Linked DNA regions of Struthio camelus. The protein of the gene in region 2 interacts with the protein of the main gene of each other region in a biochemical or structural test. Links are inferred from orthologs where the notes say so. Each region holds a gene or a part of one and is shown on either strand. Other genes may lie near its edges. The genes, in order: CDC7, MCM7 and DBF4.

Region 1 (6,939 bases), on a different chromosome or scaffold from region 2:
TAAAGCTTAAAAAGCTTAAGAACAAAAGCAACCTCAAGAGTTTTCATTTCACAAATTCTTTATACAATAGGACCATATACAAACAGTATATTGCTCCTGACAGTCCTTGAAGTGAGAAAGCATGCCAGCAACAAAAAGTAATATTAGTGGTCCCTGTTTTAGCACATACCTGAAAGCTGCTTGTTCTGCTCCTGCTTCCTCTGCAATTCTTCAGCCTCTTGGGGGTGCTGTTCATCACAATGAGACTTCAACACTGTCTCCATCACAAAACTAACCTGAAGTAAAAAAAATCCAAGACTTTGAGGACCACATCTGGACACCTGGGGGAGCAAACATATCTGGTAATAGACTTCCTTCTCCTTCACACAGTTCCTGAAATGAGATTCAGGGAGTTTGAGGAGTTCCTCTGTGCTAATTAAAACAACAAAGCCTTACCCATCATCCCAGAAAAAGAGAAAAATTAAACCAATAAACCCACTCTATCTCCAAGAAAGAGGAAGAAAGGGGGAAGGGAAGGAAGACTGCAGTATGAGCTTAGACAAGTGATTCTCTTTCATCTTTAGTGTTTACTCATTCACATTAAAGCATTATCCTTTCCTTAAAGTTTGCTTTGGAAAGCAAGGAATTGATCCACACAAATATCTGCGTAGTGCAACACTCATACAGAGTAACGGGAAAAAAAAAAAAAACCCACTCCTGAGACAAATTATAAGAGAGGAAAATGATTATCTTTGCAATATGATGGGAGATTTCTCTTTCTTCTAGAGATCAACAAGAAGTATAATTCTTAGTTTCCTTTTCACCATAACAAGAAATGCACACATGCTGTTTTGATATGCCTCTTGCTCAATCTTGGAAATTAAGCAAGCTGTAAGAATAAGCAAGCTGTAGTGTACTTACAGTGTATAATTCAGAAGCCGCTAATTCTATATCATGAAAAAAAGGAGGAAAGAGATAGAGCACTAGGGAAGAATAACCACAGTGATAAATGAGCCTGGAATCTGCATCTATTACAGTCACCTAGCACATATTTAAAGATCTTTCTTGCTTGTAACTTTGCCAAACTTCTGGCTGAACTTTCCTACAAGGAGGAAACATATTTTGGAAACTGTCAGCAGAAAGGATTCACCTGTTTTCAGGTATGAAGCTAGAAATATACTTTTGTCCCCAAAGAATTTTGGCTACCTTTCCTTTGTTATCCCCATGCAGCAGAACAGTGACAAGCAGCAGCCTTTTTTTGAAGCTTCGTTGGAGAAGCGGTAAAGGATAGATAAGGAGAATAGGACTTGGAAACTGATGGAGTGAGATCCGTCTACAGCCTTTCACAGTTAAACGCTCCCTCCACTAGCGTCAAGTAAGCGGATGAGCCTGTTCCACACCTGAAATGGCAGGGCCTCCTCATCAGAGGAAGGAGTGCAAATTAGTGCACTCCGCCTCTCACTGCAGCTTACTTGCTCTGATTCAGTGCCATCCCAGCCTCAGCTACAGTCTCTTCCAGTTCAAGGCTAGCTACACCCAGCTGGTTTGGGATACAGAAGATGAAAGCTCCTGTCTGCCTGCAAAACACCCTGGGAACACATGTTCCAGGACTTCCTGCCCATGAGCAGGGTAAAAGGGACTCAGTATCTCAAGGTGTCATTTACATTCATTTTTGCTAAACATAAAAGCTAATATTTGCATAACTATTTACAGAATACCTAGAATATTTGAGTATGTTAAGAAAAAACCCAACAGCGTGCTGATTTGGAAGAGGGCTTAACAGAACATTTAGCCAAGTTTGATTCAGTCAGATGTTTAGTTTTTACATTAATAAATGCTCAAAAAAATCACTGTTACAGACGAAAAGTGAAGAGGAATGATCCAAAGTTTCAGTTCAAAGAATTATTTTACAGTTAAATCACAGATCTCCAAAAAACAAACAAACAAAAACCTGTTTTTCCCAATATAAAAAAAGAGAAACAACCAGGTAGTGACAGGTTCAAACAACCTGCAGAGTTTTAGAGTCTTTTGAGTCAGATATTAGAACCTCACACACAAAAATTAGTGATACTACTGCCAAATCTCTGGCTAAAGCAGATGTCACTACCTGTAACACAATCTGTTATCACTAAAACACAAAGCTCTTCAAACAGGAGCATACCCACTGGTACTGCAGGAAAAAGCAGGGGGTGCCAAAACCAAAGGATGGTATTAGTGTATCTATTTTGTTATTTAAGAAAGGCAAATTTTGTGGCTGGATCAAGTCATGCAGTAAGTTTGCATTTTCCACAAATTTACAATAAATCATTTCATTACAGCACAAGCACTTAGAAATCACACTTCCACGCTTTCAGTTTGAGCTACCTTATGCGACTACTGCTAGACAAAAGAAAAACATCTGGGATGTGTCACAGCAGGTTAGCTTTACAAGACTGCTCCTGGTAGCAAGGCTCCTGGTCAAATGCACGCTTTCAGCTGCATTTAAGCAGCAGTCTGAGAGCATAAATATTAAAAAGTGAGCAGAAGTTACCAATTAAATGGCAAAGTTGAAGGTACGCGATGTGTGAACGGCTCCTGCAGTGACCCACGGACGCAGCGAGGTGCGCCCTGAAGGAGGCTCTTAACGCGTCAGGAGGCCCGTGCGGAGAGGGCCCTGGGCGCTCGGGCGGCGGAGCCCGCCGGACAAGAGCGGAGCGGCCGCTCGGGCAGGGCCCAGCCCGCCAAGGCACCCGCCCCCCGCCGCCGGGCTCCCCGCAGGGCACGCTGGAGCCCCGCAGCGCGGGGCCGGGCGAGGGGCGCCCCGGGAAGCCCGCCGGCCCGGGCCGCACCGGACCGATTCGCCCCTCAGGGCAGCGGTACCGGCGCCTCAGTCAGCGCCCAACGGCCGGCAGCGCGGGATGGGGTGGGGGGGGAGGGGGGTGGCGGGGAAGGGGCCCCGCCGGCGGTGCTGGGGTGGGGGAGGGGCAGGCTCAGACTCACGCGCCGCGCGGGCTCCCGCGACGAAACGGGCTTTTGCCTGCTGCCGCCTTTTGCCGAATGCCCCTCCGCGACCAATCCCGGCCCTCGGCGGAAACCGTGGCCTCGGCCAATGGGACCGCCGGCCGAGGGAAAGCGGGAGGCTATTGGCCAGCCGGCGGGGAGCGTCCCGCCCAAGGGGGCGGCCGGCCGGCCGGTGCGCGCGGGCTCGTGGCGGCTGTGGCGGCTGTGGCGAGCCCGCGCGGCGCCTCGGGCCTCGCGCTGCGGGAGCCGAGCTGAGGCGGCGGCGGTGGTGGGCGTTACCCGGGACAGCGGCCTGCGAGCGGGCTGCCCCTGCCCTCCCCTGGCAGCCCGAAAGGGGCAGCGGGGTCGGCAGCAAGGAAGTAAGCGTGAGCGCAGGAGTGGTTACTGGCCCCAGGGCCTGCTGGGGCCGGCGGCGACGGGCGGGCTGAGCGCCGGGAAGCGGGGCGCTCGGCCCTGGCCCGCGGCTTCAGGTTTGTCGCTCAGGCTTTTTGGTACATGTGCTCAGAAGCACGTGGTGGAGAACGAGGGATCTTTGTTTAAACAACGTACTAATTCCTCGTGCCCGCTGAAGGGCCAAGCACGCAGATACAGTTCAAGTGCTGCTTGAGAAAATGCTGCTGGGAAAGCGCGCTGGAGGGTTCTTGCACTTCTGTGAACTGCGAGGCAAAAAGCTCTGTGATAACTGCCTAGACAGAGGAAAACATATGAGGGTGCGTTTAATGCACAACGGGTAACTCAGAGCTGTTTTGTGCATCTGCTGATTCCACATGTCTGGAACTGCTCAGGGTATTCATGCTCTGCACAACAATATTTAGCCTTTATACATTTATTTCCTATAGGTGATTATTATGACATAATTACGGTGCCCAGATAAGGTGTTGTTGTCATTAGCTCTGCTATAAATCCAGATAAATACTTGAGACTCTGTGAAACAACTCTTCATTTACACCAGTAATAATGGAGAATATAACTTGGCCTGCTGTTTTGCTTTATTAATTAGTTGTATAGCAAAAGAGTTGCACAGAATGCAAAGTTAAAAATATATAGCATCTAGAGTCTGGAGTGCGCTATAGCCACTGGCCATGGCACAAACAAGCATGGGATGATAGTGCATAAGAAAAACGTGCAACAGTAAAGAAAAAGATTCGTTTATGCCTTACCTCCTATGAAAAGGACAGAGATTAGTGGGTTTCAAATTCTTTTGACTTGTGCCACTCTGAAAACTATCTCGTGGAGCTGTATTTGTAGAGCAGATTTAGGCCTACTCACAATAGGCCTGTTTTTCTAAGCTATAGTTCCTAGGCCCTCTGCAAGAAAACTCTGCAGCTTTAGTGGTCATAGGTTACAAACTGAGAAGGCCTCAGCTCCCTGGGTGTATGTATGATAATACTGAAGTAATTAAGAAACTCATGAGTAGTTCTTCAGGACTATTGAAGCACTGAAACTTAACATGAGCATTACAGAACTTTGCCCCATTGCACAGGGGAAAGCTTAAAGCAGGATAGTGATGTATTCAATGAACCACTGCACTACATCCCCTGCACCTAAGCAGTGCGCTCCTAAGAGCGCAGAGGTGTTTTAAAACAATTTCTTCTACGTTTCACTGTCCATTCCTCATCCGTTACTGAACATCTGGGCCCCAAACTGTCAAGTAACAATAACCAGTGCCAGGTAAAGAGGCTATCTTATTTGAATTGTATTTTGCTGTTTTTTGAAGTGGTGGAATTTTATTGAAGCTAGTGCAGTTGCATGTTTAAAAAAATAATTGGCACTTCACTTTTTGTCTTTTATCAAAACATTTTTTTCACCATTTCTTTTTGTTCTGACATTAAAAAGAATTGCTCTTTAATGGTAAAGACTAGCTGTCCTGCATTTGAATACACTAGGACTCTTGCTCACTAGAATATGAAACGTAATATTGTGTTTACTGGGTGCTTCACGTAGAGATCTGTAACTTCACCCCTTTGTAAATAACAGGAAAGCCTAAAGTGGTCAAGGTTCATAAGGCAACACTCTAACTTGGCTATTGTCTCATAATAAGATGAAATTAACAGAAACTGTAAAATCGGAAACAGATTCCACCTTCTTTACTCGCTGTGTAGTATCCTATCGTGCAGTTTAGAAAGAAGGTGTTGAAACATGTTGCTCAGCTTCTGCGGTGTTCTTTGGGTTTTTTTTAGCAATTCTAATTTGCACATTCTGTTAAGAGCTCTAATAAGCCAGTGCAGCAGCTAGAGATTTAGCTAAGTAAAGTAAACTCTCAACAATTTTATTTAAGGGCGAGAGTATTTAAGAGCAGATTACAGCAAACATGAATTAAGTGAGGGATAATAACAGAATAATGCAGGCCAAATTCTGTTCTTTCTTTTCTCCATGTAATCCTATAGCAGGTAGAAGGATAGCATAAGCATAAATGAGAGCAGGCTTGTCCTAGTGCTAATGACAGGCACTGTCATTCTAAATTTACCTATTAGGACAGCCTGCCAGCAATCATTTCTGCATACTGTACACTGCATACAAGCAGTGCATTAATTATTCAAAAATCTGGATATTATCTGGAGATATCTGGAGATTATTTTTGAGTTGCACGTATAGCTCTGCTGCCTCCTGGCCAGTTCAGAATTACAGCCTACCTCGCTGGCCTCCCTTTGTGCCTTTGAGTTCTGATAATGTAGAACCACCTTTTTTATCCTTGCACTTCTTATAGAGCTTCCGTTATTAGCATTTCTTTGTTAATGATGTCAATGCTACCTTTTTCCCTGTCACTCAGGCTGTATTCATTCAGAGTGAGAAATCCCTTTCACTTTATCTTCTAATCTAAGCTTGGTCCAGATGTCATTTCTTTCCTTATAATATCTCAGACTCTCTTTATTCTAACACCTAAAATCCTTATCATTTAGACTCGGTCATTTGTCTACACTGATGACTTGTTCCTCTCTGTTTCCTCTTTTTCCTATTGATCCAAATTTATCGCAATCCCTCATTCAGTCTTTCCAGTGATTTCTGTTCTCCATCATGTCAAATTTACGTTTATTTGTTCTCACTAGTGTAGCTGCACTTGTAATATAATCTAATATTGTCTTTTTTTGTTGTCCTACTCTTTTTTTAGTCTTCCAGAAATGCCAGTCTTGACACTGGCCTTCATTTGTGTTTCTCTTCTTGCTTCTTGTCTGTCTAAGGAGGAAGTTCAGTCAAGTTAGCCATGACTCTCCTCATATGAGTAGCTTGTCGAAAATCACCTCTTCATCAATGTCTTTCTTCATATACATCTTCACAGGAGTGATAGATTAGGTATTCTGTTTCTACTACATCTTCTCTAGCTTGTTTTTATTTTATTTAGAATGTAGAATTGGTAAAGGCAAAGCTTCTCTTCCTTTGCTAAAAAAAAGAGAAATGCCCTCTTTTCATTTAGCTTGAATAAGCAGAAATCCCTTTACTTCTCTGCAGATGAGGCAGAGAAAGCTCTCATTCAGCACTGAGCTTCCAATTCTTACAATGTACCTAAGTTAGGAGCTTATCAGAGGGGAAAGAAGAAATTACATCAACTAAATATGATAAACAGAATGGCATGTCTAATGCTCTGCAAGCCAAACTGCTGCACTGTCTTCTCTTGTGACTTTATCTCTTTTGTTGGATCTGTAGGATGAGAAGCCAAATGACAAGGCAGGCCCACGAAGAACTTTGCTTAAGGCAGACAAGCAGTTGCCAAAACCAACCTCTGGGAGGTCTGAGAAGAAATGATCAAAACGTTGCTGTGTGATTGCATCCACTCTGCCAGAATCTGCAGGTGAATCGAATTTTTTTTTTTTATATATATCTACTGAAAAATGTAAAAGAATCAGTGCTGACTCTGGAAAACGTCTGTTAACCTCTTCCTAGGTCAATTAAGCTAGCACAATTCTCCCTGTGTATGTATTATGCTCTAACCTTATAAAAAAGAAAGGACACAGCCAGGAAGAT
Region 2 (7,810 bases):
TCCCCACACCTCCCCGCCTCGGCTCTCGGGCACCTCGCGCTCCTTGTACTGGGGCAGCAGCTCGTGCACGGCGTCGGCGAAGAGGCGGCTGTAGCGCTTGGCGTTCTCGCACACGGCGTCCGCCAGCTCGGGGTCGTCCTCGGCCACGTCGTCCAGGGCCACGTAGAGGGCCACCTGGTCCCGGTGCGCCAGCGCGGCCTGCGGGGGACAGGGTGGGAGGGGTTGGGGGAGCGAGGAAGGACCCCCGGCTGGCACGGGGGCATCACCCGCAGCTCCAGCGGGTGACAGGAGAGAGCCTGATTCAGCCTGGGAGGGGGACAAGGACCCCCCATCCAGCCCAGAGGTGGCACCCGTGGCTCTTCTAGGGGGACGAGGGACCCCCGATCTCACACGTGGGTCCTCCCAGTGACACTACCAGCGCAATGGGGACAAGGACAGACCCCCATCCAGCCCAGAGGTGGCACCCGTGGCTCTTCTAGGGGGACGAGGGACCCCCAATCTCACACGTGGGTCTCCCAGTGACACTACCAGCGCAATGGGGACAAGGACAGACCCCCATCCAGCCCAGAGGTGGCACCCGTGGCTCTTCTAGGGGGACGAGGGACCCCCGATCTCACACATGGGTCCCCCCAGTGACACTACCAGTGCAATGGGGACAAGGACAGACCCCCATCCAGCCCAGAGGTGGCACCCGTGGCTCTTCTAGGGGGATGAGGGACCCCCAATCTCACACGTGGGTCTCCCAGTGACACTACCAGCGCAATGGGGACAAGGACGGACCCCCATCCAGCCCAGAGGTGGCACCCATGGCTCTTCTAGGGGGACAAGGGACCCCCAATCTCACACGTGGGTCTCCCAGTGACGCTACCAGCGCAATGGGGACAAGGACGGACCCCCATCCAGCCCAGAGGTGGCACCCGTGGCTCTTCTAGGGGGACAAGGGACCCCCGATCTCACACGTTGGTCCCCCCAGTGACACTACCAGCACAATGGGGACAAGGACAGACCCCCATCCAGCCCAGTGGTGGCACCCGTGGCTCTTCTAGGGGGACGAGGGACCCCCGATCTCACACATGGGTCCTCCCAGTGACACTACCAGCGCAATGGGGACAAGGACAGACCCCCATCCAGCCCAGAGGTGGCACCCATGGCTCTTCTAGGGGGACAAGGGACCCCGATCTCACACGTGGGTCTCCCAGTGACACTACCAGCGCAATGGGGACAAGGACGGACCCCCATCCAGCCCAGAGGTGGCACCCGTGGCTCTTCTAGGGGGACAAGGGACCCCCGATCTCACACGTTGGTCCCCCCAGTGACACTACCAGCACAATGGGGACAAGGACAGACCCCCATCCAGCCCAGAGGTGGCACCCATGGCTCTTCTAGGGGGACAAGGGACCCCGATCTCACACGTGGGTCTCCCAGTGACACTACCAGCGCAATGGGGACAAGGACAGACCCCCATCCAGCCCAGAGGTGGCACCCATGGCTCTTCTAGGGGGACGAGGGACCCCGATCTCACACGTGGGTCTCCCAGTGACACTACCAGCGCAATGGGGACAAGGACGGACCCCCATCCAGCCCAGAGGTGGCACCCGTGGCTCTTCTAGGGGGACAAGGGACCCCCAATCTCACACATGGGTCCCCCCAGTGACACTACCAGCGCAATGGGGACAAGGACAGACCCCCATCCAGCCCAGAGGTGGCACCCATGGCTCTTCTAGGGGGACAAGGGACCCCCAATCTCACACGTGGGTCTCCCAGTGACACTACCAGCGCAATGGGGACAAGGACGGACCCCCATCCAGCCCAGAGGTGGCACCCATGGCTCTTCTAGGGGGACGAGGGACCCCCGATCTCACACGTGGGTCCCCCCAGTGACACTACCAGCACAATGGGGACAAGGACAGACCCCCATCCAGCCCAGTGGTGGCACCCGTGGCTCTTCTAGGGGGACAAGGGACCCCCGATCTCACACGTGGGTCTCCCAGTGACACTACCAGCACAATGGGGACAAGGACAGACCCCCATGCAGCCCAGAGGTGGCACCCGTGGCTCTTCTAGGGGGACGAGGGACCCCCAATCTCACACATGGGTCTCCCAGTGACGCTACCAGTGCAATGGGGACAAGGACAGACCCCCATCCAGCCCAGTGGTGGCACCCGTGGCTCTTCTAGGGGGACGAGGGACCCCCGATCTCACACATGGGTCCCCCCAGTGACGCTACCAGCGCAATGGGGACAAGGACAGACCCCCATCCAGCCCAATGGTGGCACCCATGGCTCTTCTAAGGGGACAAGGGACCCCAATCTGGCACGGCGCTGTCACCGGTGGCTCCGTGGGGGGACAGGGGCGGGAATAGCCCCCCCCCGAGGGTCCCCCCACCCCGGCCCGGTGCTGCCCCATCTCTCACCAGCTGGTCCCGGTACGGGAACTCCTTGCCCAAGTCGCCATCGCGGTAAAACTCCTGCAGGAAGCGCTTCACCTTATCTGCGGGAGGGAGGGGACATGTCAGGCCCGGTGTCCCGGTGTCCCCACGCCCCCCCTCCCCCGGGCCCGGTAAACAAAGCCACAGGTGGTCGCCCGACCCCGGAAGTGCCCCGCGCTGCCGGTCCCGGCTTCCGGGGGGGGGGGGTCTTCGTACCCTTCTCGGCGGTGTAATCGCGCGGTGCCATGGCGGGGAGGTCTACGGGGACCGGTGGGGGTCAGTGTGGTTCCGGTTCGGCGTCTCCGGTACGGGTGCCCGTAGGGGTGAGGCCCAATCAGTGAGGCTCCGGTTCTGTGCGTCGGTACGGGTCGCGGCAAGGGTCAGTGACGGGTGGCCGTAAGGGTCAAGCCCGGTCAGTCGCGTTCACGGTTCGGCGGCCCGGTACGGGACCTTGCAGGGGTCAACGCCGCTGAGCGCCGCCACTCCGGCTCCGGCCGCCGCAACCAAAAGTGGCGCGAAAAGGCGCCTCACGTGGCGCCCGCGGGCCAATCCGGGGCCGGCCTCGCCCCCTTCGCCCCGCCCCGCGCGGCCCCGCCCAATCGCGGGGCGAGGCGGCCCGGCGCGGGCTCCGCCTCCTTTGGGCCGCGTCACGTGACTCCCGCTTTCCCCCGCGCGGCCGGACGGGACCGAGGTTCGGGGAGACCCGCGGGGGGCCCTGGCCCCGCCCCCTCTTAAAGGGGCCGCGGTTGCGGGGGGGCGGGGCCGGGGGGTGCTGGGTGCTGGGGAGGGTGGATGGGGGGGTCTGGGGGTGCTGGGGCCTTGGAGGGGTGCTGGGGGGGTGGATGGGGGGCACTTGGGGGGTGCTGGGGCCTTGGGGGGGTGCTGGGGGCTGGATGGGGGGTCTGGGGGTGCTAGGGCCTTGGGGTGCTGGGTGCTGAGGGGGGATGGGGGGCTCTGGGGGTGCTGGAGCCTTGGAGGGGTGCTGGGTGCTGAGGGGGGATGGGGGGATCTGGGGGTGCTGAGGCCTTGGGGGGGTGCTGGGGGCTGAGGGGGGATGGGGGGCTCTGGGGGTGCTGGAGCCTTGGGGGGGTGCTGGGTGCTGAGGGGGGATGGGGGGATCTGGGGGTGCTGAGGCCTTGGGGGGGTGCTGGGGGCTGGGGGGGTGGATGGGGGCTCTGGGGGTGCTAGGGCCTTGGGGTGCTGGGTGCTGGGGGGGTGGATGGGGGGCACTTGGGGGGTGCTGGGGCCTTGGAGGGGATGGATGGGTGGTCTGGGGGTGCTGGGTCCTGATGGGGGAGCACTTGGGGGGTGCTGGGGCCTTGGGGGGGATGCTGGAGGATGGGGGGGGATGGGGGGGGTCAGAGGGTGCTGGGTCCTGATGGGGGAGCACTTGGGGGGTGCTGGGGGGGTGGATGGGGGGCTCTGGGGGTGCTGGAGCCTTGGGGGGGTGCTGGGTGTGGGGGGGGTGGATGGGGGTGTCTGGGGGTACTGGGTCTTGATGAAGGGGCACTTGATGGGTGCTGGGTCCTGGTGGGGTGGGGAGCAGGACCTGGAGGGCGCAGAGCTCTTTCGAAGGTGCAGAGCCCTGGTAGCACCCAAAGGTGGCCAGAGGGTGAGTGGGGGGGGTCTCGGGGTGAAGGAAGGGGGGGAGGGTCCCACTCGAGCCACCCCCTCCGCCTCCCGCCAGGCCAGCGATGCTCTCCCAGCTCTTCATCCTCTCCTCCAAGGGCGACCGCCTCATCCATAAGGACTGTATCCTGCTCCAGCGTGGGTGCTGGGTGGGTGGGATGGGGTGAGAGGTTGGGGAGGGGTCCCCCTTGCCCCCCCTGCTCCCCACCTTCTTCTGCTTCTCCTTAACCGCAGACCGGTCCGTGGCGAGGCCGGTGCCACCAGCCAGGACCTCGCCGACACCTTCTACAAGAAGATCACGGCTTTGCCGGGCGACCAAGCTCCCGTCTTCATGGTGAGGGTGGTGGTAGGGTGCTGAAACGGGGTGGTGGTGGGGGAGGGGTCCCAGCACCCTTCCCAGCTCCGTTTCGCCCCCCCCACCACCCACCCGCCACCTCCGCAGGTGCACGAGGGCCGGCACTTTGTCCACGTGCGGCACGCGGGGCTCTACGTGGTGGCCACCGCCGCGCCAGATGCGTCGCCCTTCACCTTGGTGGAGTTCCTCAATAGGTATGGGGAGGGGGGGTTTTCGGGGGGTGGGGGGGACACACCGGGGGACAGGAGGGGACGCGGCAGAGTGGGGGGAACCCGTTGACGGCCCGCCGGCGCAGGTTGGTGACGTTGCTGCGGGACTGCTGCGGGACCCTCAGCGAGAAGAACGTCGCCCTCAACTTCGCCCTCGTCTACGAGCTCCTGGACGAGATGCTGGTGGGTGGGCGCCTTGGGACACCCTACGGGGTGACGGGGACACCCCTAGGGCGTGGGGTTGTCCCTGGGGATGCCTTGGGAGGGACACAGGGGCCACCCCGGGGGGAGCTGGGGACATCTTGGGGTGGTGGTGACCCTGCTGGGGGCACTATGGGGACAGTTTGGGGACAGTTTGGGGGACTGGAGCCACCTCAGAGGGAGGTGGTGACACCCTGGGGTGGTGGTGACCCTGCTGGGGGGGCTATGGGGACAGTTTGGGGGACTGGGGCCACCTCAGAGGGAGGTGGGGACCCCCTGGGGTGGTGGTGGACCCCCTGAGGGGGCTATGGGGACAGTTTGGGGACAGTTTGGGAGACTGGGGCCACCTCAGAGGGAGATGGGGACACCCTGGGGTGGTGGTGACCCTGCTGGGGGTGCTATGAGGACACTATGGGGACAGTTTGGGGACAGTTTGGGAGACTGGGGCCACCTCAGAGGGAGGTGAGGACACCCTGGGGTGGTGGTGGTGGCCCTGCTGGGGACAGTTTGGGGGACTGAAGCCACCACAGAGGGAGGTGGGAACACCCTGGGGTAGTGGTGGCCCTGCTGAGGACAGCTTGGGGGGGGGGACCAGGGCCACCCTAGAGGGAGCTGGGGACATGATGGGGGAGGCCAAGCGACACTCTCCTGGGGCTGGGGACAGCTCTGGGGGTGATGGGGACACCTGAGTGTGGTGGGGACACCCCCATGGGGTGACGGGGACATTAGAGGGGGGTAGTGGGAACACCCTAGAGAGAGAGCTGGGGGGCCACCTTTGTGGGGGGGGCCACTCAGGAGCATCTTTAGGGTGCTGGGGACAACCCAAAGGGGCTGAGGACACCCCTGGGGGAGGGGGGGACACGGGGACATCCCTGTGTGTCCCCCCCCCCCCGCCAGGACTACGGTTACATCCAGACCACGGCGCCCGAGGTGCTGCGCAACTTCATGCACACGGAGCCCGTGGCCACCAAACCCTTCAGCCTCCTGGACCTGGGCTCCATCGGGCTGGTGAGCACCCAACCCCCCCCCCCAACCCCACCCATGGGTGCCCTCGCACCCACGTCCGGCGAACGCCCCCTTCCTCTTCCTCCTCCTCGTTGCAGTTCGGCGCCGAGACGCAGCAGAGCAAGGTGGCCCCCAGCTCGGCCGCCAGCCGCCCCGTGCTGCCACCTCGGGGGGAGCAGGTAGGACCCCCCCCCTGCCGCCCCACCCGATGGGTGTCCCCGTGTCCCCCCTCCCCCCGCCCCACGGGTGTCCCCGTGTCACCGCCGACTGTCTCTGCGGCCACAGGGCGCCAAGAACGAGGTTTTCGTGGACGTGGTGGAGAGGCTGACGGTGGTCATCGCGGCCAACGTGAGTGGGGACGGGGCCACCGCTCGGTCGTCCCCCCCCAGTGTCCCCTCCCTCCCACTCGTCCCCCCACCTCCGGGCACCTCGACCTGGGGGTGTCCCCTGTCTCCGAAGCACTTCGCGTCCCCCCTCATGTCTCCCCCCAGGCAGCTTGGCTTGGGGGTGTCCCCTGTCCCCAAAGTGCCCCGCGTCCCCCTCGTGTCCCCCCCCAGGCAGCTTGGCTTGGGGGTGTCCCCTGTCCCCAAAGCGCCCCGTGTCCCCCCTGTGTCCCCCCTCGAGGCACCTCAGCTCAGCCTGGGGGTGTCCCCTGTCCCCAAAGTGCCCCACGTACCCCGTGTCTCCCCCCGAGGCACCTTTGCTCGGCCTGGGGGTGTTCCCTGTCCCCAAAGCACCCCGTGTCCCCCCATGTCCCCCCTCCCAACACCTCAGCCTGGGGGGGGGGAATCCCATGTCCCCAAAACGCCCCGCGTCCCCCCCAACCCCGGCTCACCCCTCGTCCCCGCGTCCCCAGGGGACACCCACGAAGGTGGACGTCCAGGGGGAAATTCGCCTCAAGTGCTACGTGCCCAGCTGCTGCGGTGAGCGGGGGGGGGGGGGGGGGTCCCCAGCGGCATTGGGTGTACGGGGCTGGGTGTCCCCCCCCACCCCAAAACCCGCCACCACCGTGTCCGTCCCCCCGCCACCCCGGTGGGTGACACCGCCGCGTCCCCGCAGAGATGCGCATCGGGCTGACGGAGGAGTTCTGCGTGGGCAAGTCGGAGGTGCGAGGTGCGTCCCACCCCCCCCAACTCCCCCCCAAGGGGGAAAAAAAAACCCTAAACGTCCTTTTTTGCCCCCAAAATCGCCTCCCCCCCCCACCAAGGCTACGGCACGGCCGTCCGCGTGGATGAATGCGCCTTCCACGGCGCCGTCAAGCTGGACGAGTTCGAGAGCGGCCGGGTGCTCAAGGTGACCCCGAGCCAGGGTGAGGTGAGGATTCGGATGGGTGGGGGGCACCCTAGGGTGATGGGGGGGCACCCATCCTGACCCCCTTTCCCCCTCCCCACCCGGGGCAGCTCACGCTCATGCAGTACCAGCTGGCGGATGACATCCCGGCGCCTTTGCCCTTCCGCCTCTTCCCAACCGTGGACCGGGACGCTGCGGGCAGGTGAGGGTGGGGGGGGGGTTTGGGTGGGGGGGGGTTTGGGTGACCCCGGTGCTGACGTGGCCCCGCGTCCCCCGCAGGTTGCGGCTGTACCTGAAGCTCCGCTGCGACCTGCCACCCAAAAGGTTTGGGGGGAGGGGGGGCTTGGGGGGTGGCTGGTGGGTGTCCATGGGTGAGAGGGGGGAGTGTGGTGGGTGTCCATGGGTGTCTGTAGGGGTGGAGGTGTCCAAGGGGTGTCCATGGGTGGTGGTGGGGGGTCTAGTGGGTGTCCATGGGTGCCTGTAGGGGTGGGGGGTGTCCAGTGGGCATCCATGGGGCTGGGGGTGCCTGGTGGGTATCCGTGGGTGAGAGGGGGGTCTGGTGGGTGTCCATGGGAGTCTGTAGGGGTGGGGGTGTCCGGTGGGTGTCCATGGGTGGGGGGGGTCTAGTGGGTGTCCATGGGTGCCTGTAGGGGTGGGGGTGTCCAGTGGGCTTCCATGGGGTTGGGGGTGCCT
Region 3 (7,194 bases), on a different chromosome or scaffold from region 2:
GTCCCATTAGAACAAAAGCAGACGAAAAAGTAACTAAAATTACAAAAAATGTAAGACTTAGATCCTCCTTTTTGTTATTTAATGTTTGAGTACCCACCTGAGATGCAGTAAGACTATGCTTAAGTCTGGGAACTTGAACATAATTCTAGTTATAACAGCTCTTTCTCTCCTGGTGAATTTTGCTCTAACATTAAGAAACCACATCTGGCAATGTAACTGTGCTTTGAACAGTTGAACTTTCCTAGAGCTAGATCAGACTAGGTTTTTAAGTAAGCAACACAAATTTCAGTATAGGTGAGAAGCAAGCCTCATTTCCCAAGGAAAATTCTGGGACTGTGGTAGATATGTCTGTGAGAACATCAGCTGAATAACGAGTAGCAATCAAAATAGTAAAAAAACCTAAAAAGGAATAAAAAATAGAAGTGCAGAATTTTATTACGCCACTGTATAAATTCATGGTTTGCTCACTCCTTAGATACAGCATACCCTTCTAAGCAAAAAAATTAAATAAATAAATAAAAGGGATCAAAAGGGTAACAAGGACGATCGAAGGTTTGAAAAAACTTCTGCATAAGAAATGACTTTGTAGATTAAGACTTGACAGTCTGCAAAATAAACCATTTACAGAAAATACAGTAAAAACGTATAAAATCAAGAAGAACACAGAGAGGGCGGCTAAACAGCCTGTTCCAGTACAAGGGATATGGGACACGAAACAAAACAAGGAGACAGGTACAAAACGGACAAGAGGAATTGGTTCTTTGTGCAGCAGGTCAGCTCTGCGCAGCATGTTGCTGCACAAAGACTGGTGTAGTTACTAAGACATGGTTTCAAGGGGGACTGGACAAGTACATGAAAGAAAAATACTTTGAGGGGTTCCAAATGCACAGACATGACATGCAATTCATGAAGTCGCTGTAGCTGACCACAGTTGGGCACTAAGATAATATTAGTGATTATACCTTCCCTGGTCTTATATACTTCCAGAGGAATCCACTTACAACCACTGATGGAAACGGGACCATCCAAGACTGACATAATGTCGGGTTTACGTTGTCTTTTCTTGCTCACTGACTGACACCCTACTACTAGTTGCTTTCTTCCGAAGCAGCTCAAAATAGACAACCACAGCTGCTGCAGGAAATGAGCAAGGCTCTTCTAGAGACAAAAAAAAAAAGGTTCCTCTGTTATGTATTCTCTCCCTACCTGAAACTATCTGAGCTGAAAAAGGGATGAGTACCACCACTGATACTGCAGGACTCTGTAAGTAACAGTTAGGAATAGACAAAAGTGAAGCAAGAATAGGTTTGGCAGAATCTGGAAGACCAAAAGAAGTAACTAGGAAAGCAGGAAAATGTGGACGGCTTGGGGTAACACAACTGATTTAGAAACTAAAGACGGATGAAATGTTGGGCAAAAGATAAGCAGATGTGCAAATGTGAAGTTCTGTAGGAGACCCAAGAACCAAATGTGGTCTTATACCCAACACGCATATATGATGGCCAGGGAAGCGCAGATTAATGCACTAAATACTAGAGTTAACCCTGGAAAATACATATCAAACTTCCTGAGGATAATCAAAAGCTTGCAGTTAGTTAGCAGTACTGCAATAACAGGATAGCAGTCTCTCATAAAGATAACTTCATGGTATTCATGTAGAGAAGGAACATTTTAATATCCATAGCCTAACATGGTGAGGAGACCTCCTACGTGTGTTGCTGATACCAGCAGACATCTGCCTGGGTGGAGCAGCCTGCAGGGCAGAGGCCTAGCGAATTTCAACATAGCTACTATTTGCTGCTTGTTTGCACTTCAAACAGCTCATAAAAAGGAGCAAGTAACCTAGCTTATCTACCCTTTCGGTTACATACTTTTACATTTAATCCCCAAAACTATGGAGAAGTTAAAAAAAGAAAAAAAAGTTAAGCGCTAACCTGCTAGATTGATCTCTATCCTTAGCGTTATTTCGGCTGCACACCACGAACAAAGACAGCTCAACGCGTGTCACCGCTAGCCCGACAGAGGCGGGAGGCCCGGAGCCAGCAGCAGCCCCGGGCTGCCGGGGCGGCTCACCAGGAGGCCGCGGAAGGAGGCCCCGGGCGGGCCGCCGCTGAAGGTGACCCCCCTGCCGGTGGGTAAGGTCCCACACAGCCCCCCCCCCCGCTCCCAGCCGGGCGCTCCGCGGCCGCGGGGCCACCCGCCACTTACGGGGACGCGCTCCTTTGCTGGCGGCCGCCGCAGCGCTCGGTTTCATCTTCCCGCGGAGTCACATCCTCTCTTCCGCCCGCTGCTGGACCTGCGGGGGCGCAGCGCGGCCGCTGAGCTCCGGCTCGCCCCAGAGCCGGCTCCCGGCCCTGGGCCCGGGCCCCTCCGCCGCCGTTGGGGCAGGCGCGGGTCGCCGCACCTCACTTCACCTCAGCTCAGCTCAGCTCACCGCGCTTTCCCGCCTCCGGCAGCCCGCCGCGCTGGGCCTCGCTTCTGCTCCCCGGGGAGCAGCGCCGCGGGCCGAGGCGAGGAAAGCAACTCTGCCGCCCGGCGGCGCCCCGCACCCCGCCGCGGGCTGAGCCTGAGCAACGGTCGTCCGCGGGCGCGCGCGCACGCACGCGGTAGGGCGGGGGGAGGGGCGGGGCGGGGGAGGCGATGCCGGGTGGCTGTGGGCAGGGCCCGGGAACCCAGCGAGGGGAAGGGAAAGGCGGGACGTGGTGCCTCGGTGGAGGAGGAAAGAGAGGAGTCGCGGCTGGGGGGGGGCGCGGTGGCCGGGCCTTGGGCGGAGGGAGGTCGCCGGCCGTTAGCGCGTGAGGCGGGGGGAAGGCCGCCGCCGCCTGCCTCACCTCACCTCGCCGCGCCGCACCTCAGGGGCCGGGGAGGCGCGGGCGAGGGTCGGTGGGCGCCATCACGAGGAGAAACCCCTGGGAGAAAGTGTCTGGGGTGTGCTTACAGCTGGCCCCGGCAGGGTGGAGGGGGGGGGCTTTGCCTGCGCGGTGGGAAGGCGGAAGCTGTGTGTTCGAGAGCGCTGGCGGGAGAAAGCCTGTAGGGGACTGGGGAGATGGGGAGAGGTAACTCCTTAACTCCTTGGCTCAGTGATGTTCTTCTGTAGGCGTTTACTGCTAACTTCAAACACCTCTTCGGAAAACCAGGGACTAAAAATTGCCCATGGGATGTGTGTGAATTTGAAACTGTACTTACTATGCAAGCTGTTGGTAGAAGTGCTGTGAGAGGCTGCTGTTTCCTGTTTTGTCAGGCTTTAAAAAACAAGTGAATCCCTCTATTTACAGGGCCAGAATTTAGTGACTCAGCTGTGTTTATGCAACTTCTTGGATTTTGCCCATACTTGTGTTGGCATTGTAATCCTCCTACCGAGTATCGGTGGGAGCAAGAAAGTTCAAATTCGTTTGCATACTGGTCGTTCAGCTAGAAAACACATACCCCAGTTGTTTCATTTTTAACCTTATCCCAGTCAACCTTTCCTATTTCTGCAAATGATAAAGTAATGATCACTTATATAAGTGGTAAAGTTTGAGGCCTTTTTCCCCGACTGAGAAGTGTTTAGTGTCCTTTTAGAACATAAAGTCATAATGGGAAAGGAAAAAGCACCAAATTCAAGGAAAGTCTTGTGCTCTCTTCATGTTCTGTTTAGAGTGTGCAGCTTCTCTGAGCTAGTTCACAGCTCAAAAGGCTGTGGAAAACAATGTTAGCGTCAGAGATTTAAGCTATTGTCTTACTAGTTTAGTGCAGTGACTCCCAAGGGACCTAGGGATCTCAAAAGGAAGCTACAGAAAACAAACTCTATTCTATTGATTTGTGTAAGAAAAACAAATCCTTATTTTTCTATGCCCTGATTGGAAATTTCTTTTCTTTTTAGGGATTGCTTTGTGAAAGCAAAAAAGGCACTAAAATCTCTTACTTCATTTCATACTGCCATAGAAACCTTTCAGGACCAAGTAACAGTTTGTGAATAGAAGTCTTTCATTTTCTTGGTCTTGAATGTCTTTTTGCTCCAGGGTACATTTCATATCATTCTAGTCTTCTTTTACAACACTTTTACAGATACAGTAATAATTATGATCTGTGTTTACATAATACAATTCATAATAATCGTAAAACACTTATGCTACCAGAAATCAAAGAAATTAAAGAATAGAGAAGGAACTCCTGAGAGCATTTGGTTTAAAATGTGACTGCAGATAAGAAGATAGTAACAAAATGTCAGCGTGCTATATTTGAAGACAGCTTTGTTGGTGCGTGATCCTGTTTACAGCTTCTTCTCACTAAGAAAGATCTGTTTCCACACCGCTGGTGAGACTCCAGCCTCAGCAATGGCTCAGAATGCCTGGGTTTTTACGTTTCATGGCATATGGGAGTTACAAATGATTTCTTTATGAATTTGACGATTATGCCTGTTTGACTAATATGATTTTTGTATATGAAAGTTGTATTCAACGCTGTTGGATCCTTTTGCTTTAAGTACTTGTGTGGTGGGTTCTGCATGCAAACAGCTTTCAGTGTTTTATTTAGCAATAAGTAAGTATTTAACCAATTTGTATTTTGTTCTTACAAGTGCAGATCATGTTTGACAGATAATGAGAAAAGAACATTGGGTGTATCTACAAAGATTCTGTCTTGAGCCCGTGATTAGGAACATGGAATCATTTACTCAACCAACAGCTGTGCGGATTAAATATGTATTTGTTTTTGTGGTGATGAGTAATTTATGGTCATGCAAATTTGTCAGGTGTTTCTTTTGAAATCTGAGAGTTAGTTTAGCTATTGGCCAAAGACATTACCACTGCTACCCATCTTACTTTTTGGTTTTTATGGTGTACCGCCTCAGCATGGCAGCAGTGTAGCCAATGAGGTGAGTCATAGGTGCTGTGTTCCTAGTTGAAAATGTGTCCCGATATCCCACTAAGGTGGCTTGGAATACAGCTGTCAGTCTTGGCTGTGTTTCTAAGCCTCTATGGAAACTGTAAGGCATTGGCTGTAACCCACAGTTCCTTCCCAGCTCTTCTCTAAGAGTAATCCCTATGGGGGTTCATGTTTTGTGGGAGTCCTCTGACATTTTTCTTTTGTATCTTTTTTTTTTTTTATCTGATTTGGAAAATCGTTGATCTGTGTTAACCTTAGCAGTTTGTATGTGGGGAAAGAGTAGTAACCTTAACAGTGCAGTAAAGAAGGATGAGAACAAGTTAAAGAGCAGAAAGGAGTCATACTCATTCTGTGTCTGCAAGGTGCTGTAGCAGGTTCCGGCTGGTATAGATGTTCCTTCTAAGGCTTTGGGCTTCATGTAGCATTTTGTAAGTGACTTCTTTGGCTATGTTGCTGCAGAAGTATTATGTCTGATTCAGTACAAAAGCTTGACCATCAGCTTATGAGACTTTCTCTCATTGCTGCCGGGACAGTTAGCAAAACATGCCATGCCAAGGTACTAAGGCCAAATGCAGCAATTCTCTTACTCAGTCAGATGGAAAAGCTGCCTTCTGTTCATGCAGGCATGTTGTGAACAGATGGGGGAACTAATCAAATTCAGTGCTTCCCACCCCACTCATCTCCTCGAAAGACTGTTTTATTTAAAGCCAGATCAGTTTCCTGGTACAGTTACAGCATAGTTTCACAAACTGTTGGGCAGATACTGTTAAAAAGGCAGTGTGCTGATACTTACAGGTATAAGCAGTTGGAGGAGCCAGTTAAGGATGCTCTAAATTTTTATTGTTGCTGAAGACTTTGTTTCTGGAGATCACAGCCTGGTTGCTTCTTATAAAAGAACTGTATATGCTATTTTTGAAAGTATTATAGAATAAATTAGAAAATCTATTACATTAAAAAGCCAAAAAATCCCAAAGAAAATTAATGGTTGTTAGACAAATCTGTTTTATGCAGTTTAGTCTCTTTATCTTTTAAGCTAAGTGAAAATAACAAAATATAATGTTCCTATAAATTGAACTAAAAAAGGAGACCTTTGCAAACAATAATAAAGTCATAACGACACTTATTACACATACATTTTTAAAGCTATGCCATTATTTAGGGATTTTATGTCCTGGAAAGAAAAAAAAGAAGAAACAATTTTCTAGCTGGTTATGGATACTGGGAATACATTATCTCCTTATTTTTTAGATACTATGAATACGTTTGCAAGGTACTGTAACCTTGCCTGCATAGCTGTACAGCAGGATTTGTTCAAGGAATGAATATTCAATGATAGCAATGCAGTATGCTAGTTAGTTGCTATTTCTTGCTGTATGAGGAGTTGAACAGGGAATACAGTCACTGCGACTAGGCTGTGAATTGGATCAGTCAGGGGTCCTCTCCTGATTTTCTCACAGGAATGACAAGAGGACAGCTAGATAAATTATTCTGCTATGCTACAGACAGTTTATGGGCCACAGGCTGCACATTTATCATTGTACTGCAAATTTGCATGCTCCTAAATGCTTTGCAGCAAGAGGTGATGCATATTAAATATTTAATGTCATTTACAAAAATGTAAACATTGTAATACATATAAGAATTATTTGGGAGATTTATTTTTATTTTGAAAATTTAGATTGTTAAAAAAGATGGAGCAAATATTGTAATTTAAAAAAAAGATTTTTTGCATGCAAGTAGAAAATTGGTATTTATTGCTACTTACATATAATGTATTAATGAAAATTAAAAATAACTTTTCCTTTGAATTTCTGTAAATTTTGAATATAGTTCTGCAATATATTTTTCTGTTCCTTAACAGGTTTTCCTTCTCTAAGGATAAAGTTATGGCTGAAAAGGATGATAGTGACTTAGATAAAACAACTAGTATTCAGCAAGCAGTAGCTTCTTGCTTTGGAGCTATAATTACATCATTTTTTGGTAAGGCAAACTATTAAGCTCACCATAGAGAGAATCTTTGCAAAGTTGATTACTCTTCAGCTTGCACCAGCAAGATATCTGCAAATACATACATACATACATGTAATATGTGTATATATATATATATAATATGTATATGTGTATATGTATATAGTTTTCTCATAATTTCATATATTTTAATAAATGCAGTGATTAATTGAAATCTTTCCAGTCTCTTTAACCCAATCTTTAACCATTTCTAAAAATAAGAATAGTTTTTATTAACCTTTCTTCTCTATGTTTTTTGTTGGTATAGTAATTCATTGTTTTCTCTCTGTAAGAAACAAAATGAGTGTCCATATTTCCTAC

What was found.
Region 1: of the proteins of MCM7 (region 2) and CDC7, one has a biochemical effect on the other in vitro, tested with the Homo sapiens proteins (2 studies listed by BioGRID). The link is inferred for Struthio camelus from reciprocal best matches to the Homo sapiens genes MCM7 and CDC7.
Region 3: of the proteins of MCM7 (region 2) and DBF4, one has a biochemical effect on the other in vitro, tested with the Homo sapiens proteins (2 studies listed by BioGRID). The link is inferred for Struthio camelus from reciprocal best matches to the Homo sapiens genes MCM7 and DBF4.

What each region holds. Positions count from the first base shown.
Region 1 is NC_090949.1:19,220,564-19,227,502, forward strand, and holds the start of CDC7 (cell division cycle 7-related protein kinase), read right to left. Parts: upstream 3,049-6,939; 5' UTR 2,959-3,048; intron 2,705-2,958; exon of another isoform or gene 2,510-2,704; intron 276-2,509; 5' UTR 264-275; coding exon 170-263; intron 1-169. UniProt on the Homo sapiens protein: Kinase involved in initiation of DNA replication. Phosphorylates critical substrates that regulate the G1/S phase transition and initiation of DNA replication, such as MCM proteins and CLASPIN.
Region 2 is NC_090978.1:592,640-600,449, reverse strand, and holds the start of MCM7 (DNA replication licensing factor MCM7), read right to left. Parts: upstream 3,016-7,810; 5' UTR 2,676-3,015; coding exon 2,645-2,675; intron 2,491-2,644; coding exon 2,414-2,490; intron 199-2,413; coding exon 34-198; intron 1-33. Other genes in the region: AP4M1 (AP-4 complex subunit mu-1), read left to right, coding at 4,123-4,180, 4,297-4,391, 4,500-4,606, 4,708-4,804, 5,720-5,830, 5,926-6,006, 6,113-6,175, 6,684-6,750 and 4 more. UniProt on the Homo sapiens protein: Acts as a component of the MCM2-7 complex (MCM complex) which is the replicative helicase essential for 'once per cell cycle' DNA replication initiation and elongation in eukaryotic cells.
Region 3 is NC_090943.1:25,178,712-25,185,905, reverse strand, and holds the start of DBF4 (protein DBF4 homolog A), read right to left. Parts: upstream 3,003-7,194; 5' UTR 2,837-3,002; exon of another isoform or gene 2,832-2,836; intron 2,607-2,831; exon of another isoform or gene 2,415-2,606; intron 2,350-2,414; exon of another isoform or gene 2,297-2,349; 5' UTR 2,255-2,296; coding exon 2,209-2,254; intron 2,136-2,208; exon of another isoform or gene 1,810-2,135; intron 1-1,809. Other genes in the region: mitochondrial glutathione transporter SLC25A40, read left to right, coding at 5,257-5,294, 6,728-6,846. UniProt on the Homo sapiens protein: Regulatory subunit for CDC7 which activates its kinase activity thereby playing a central role in DNA replication and cell proliferation. Required for progression of S phase.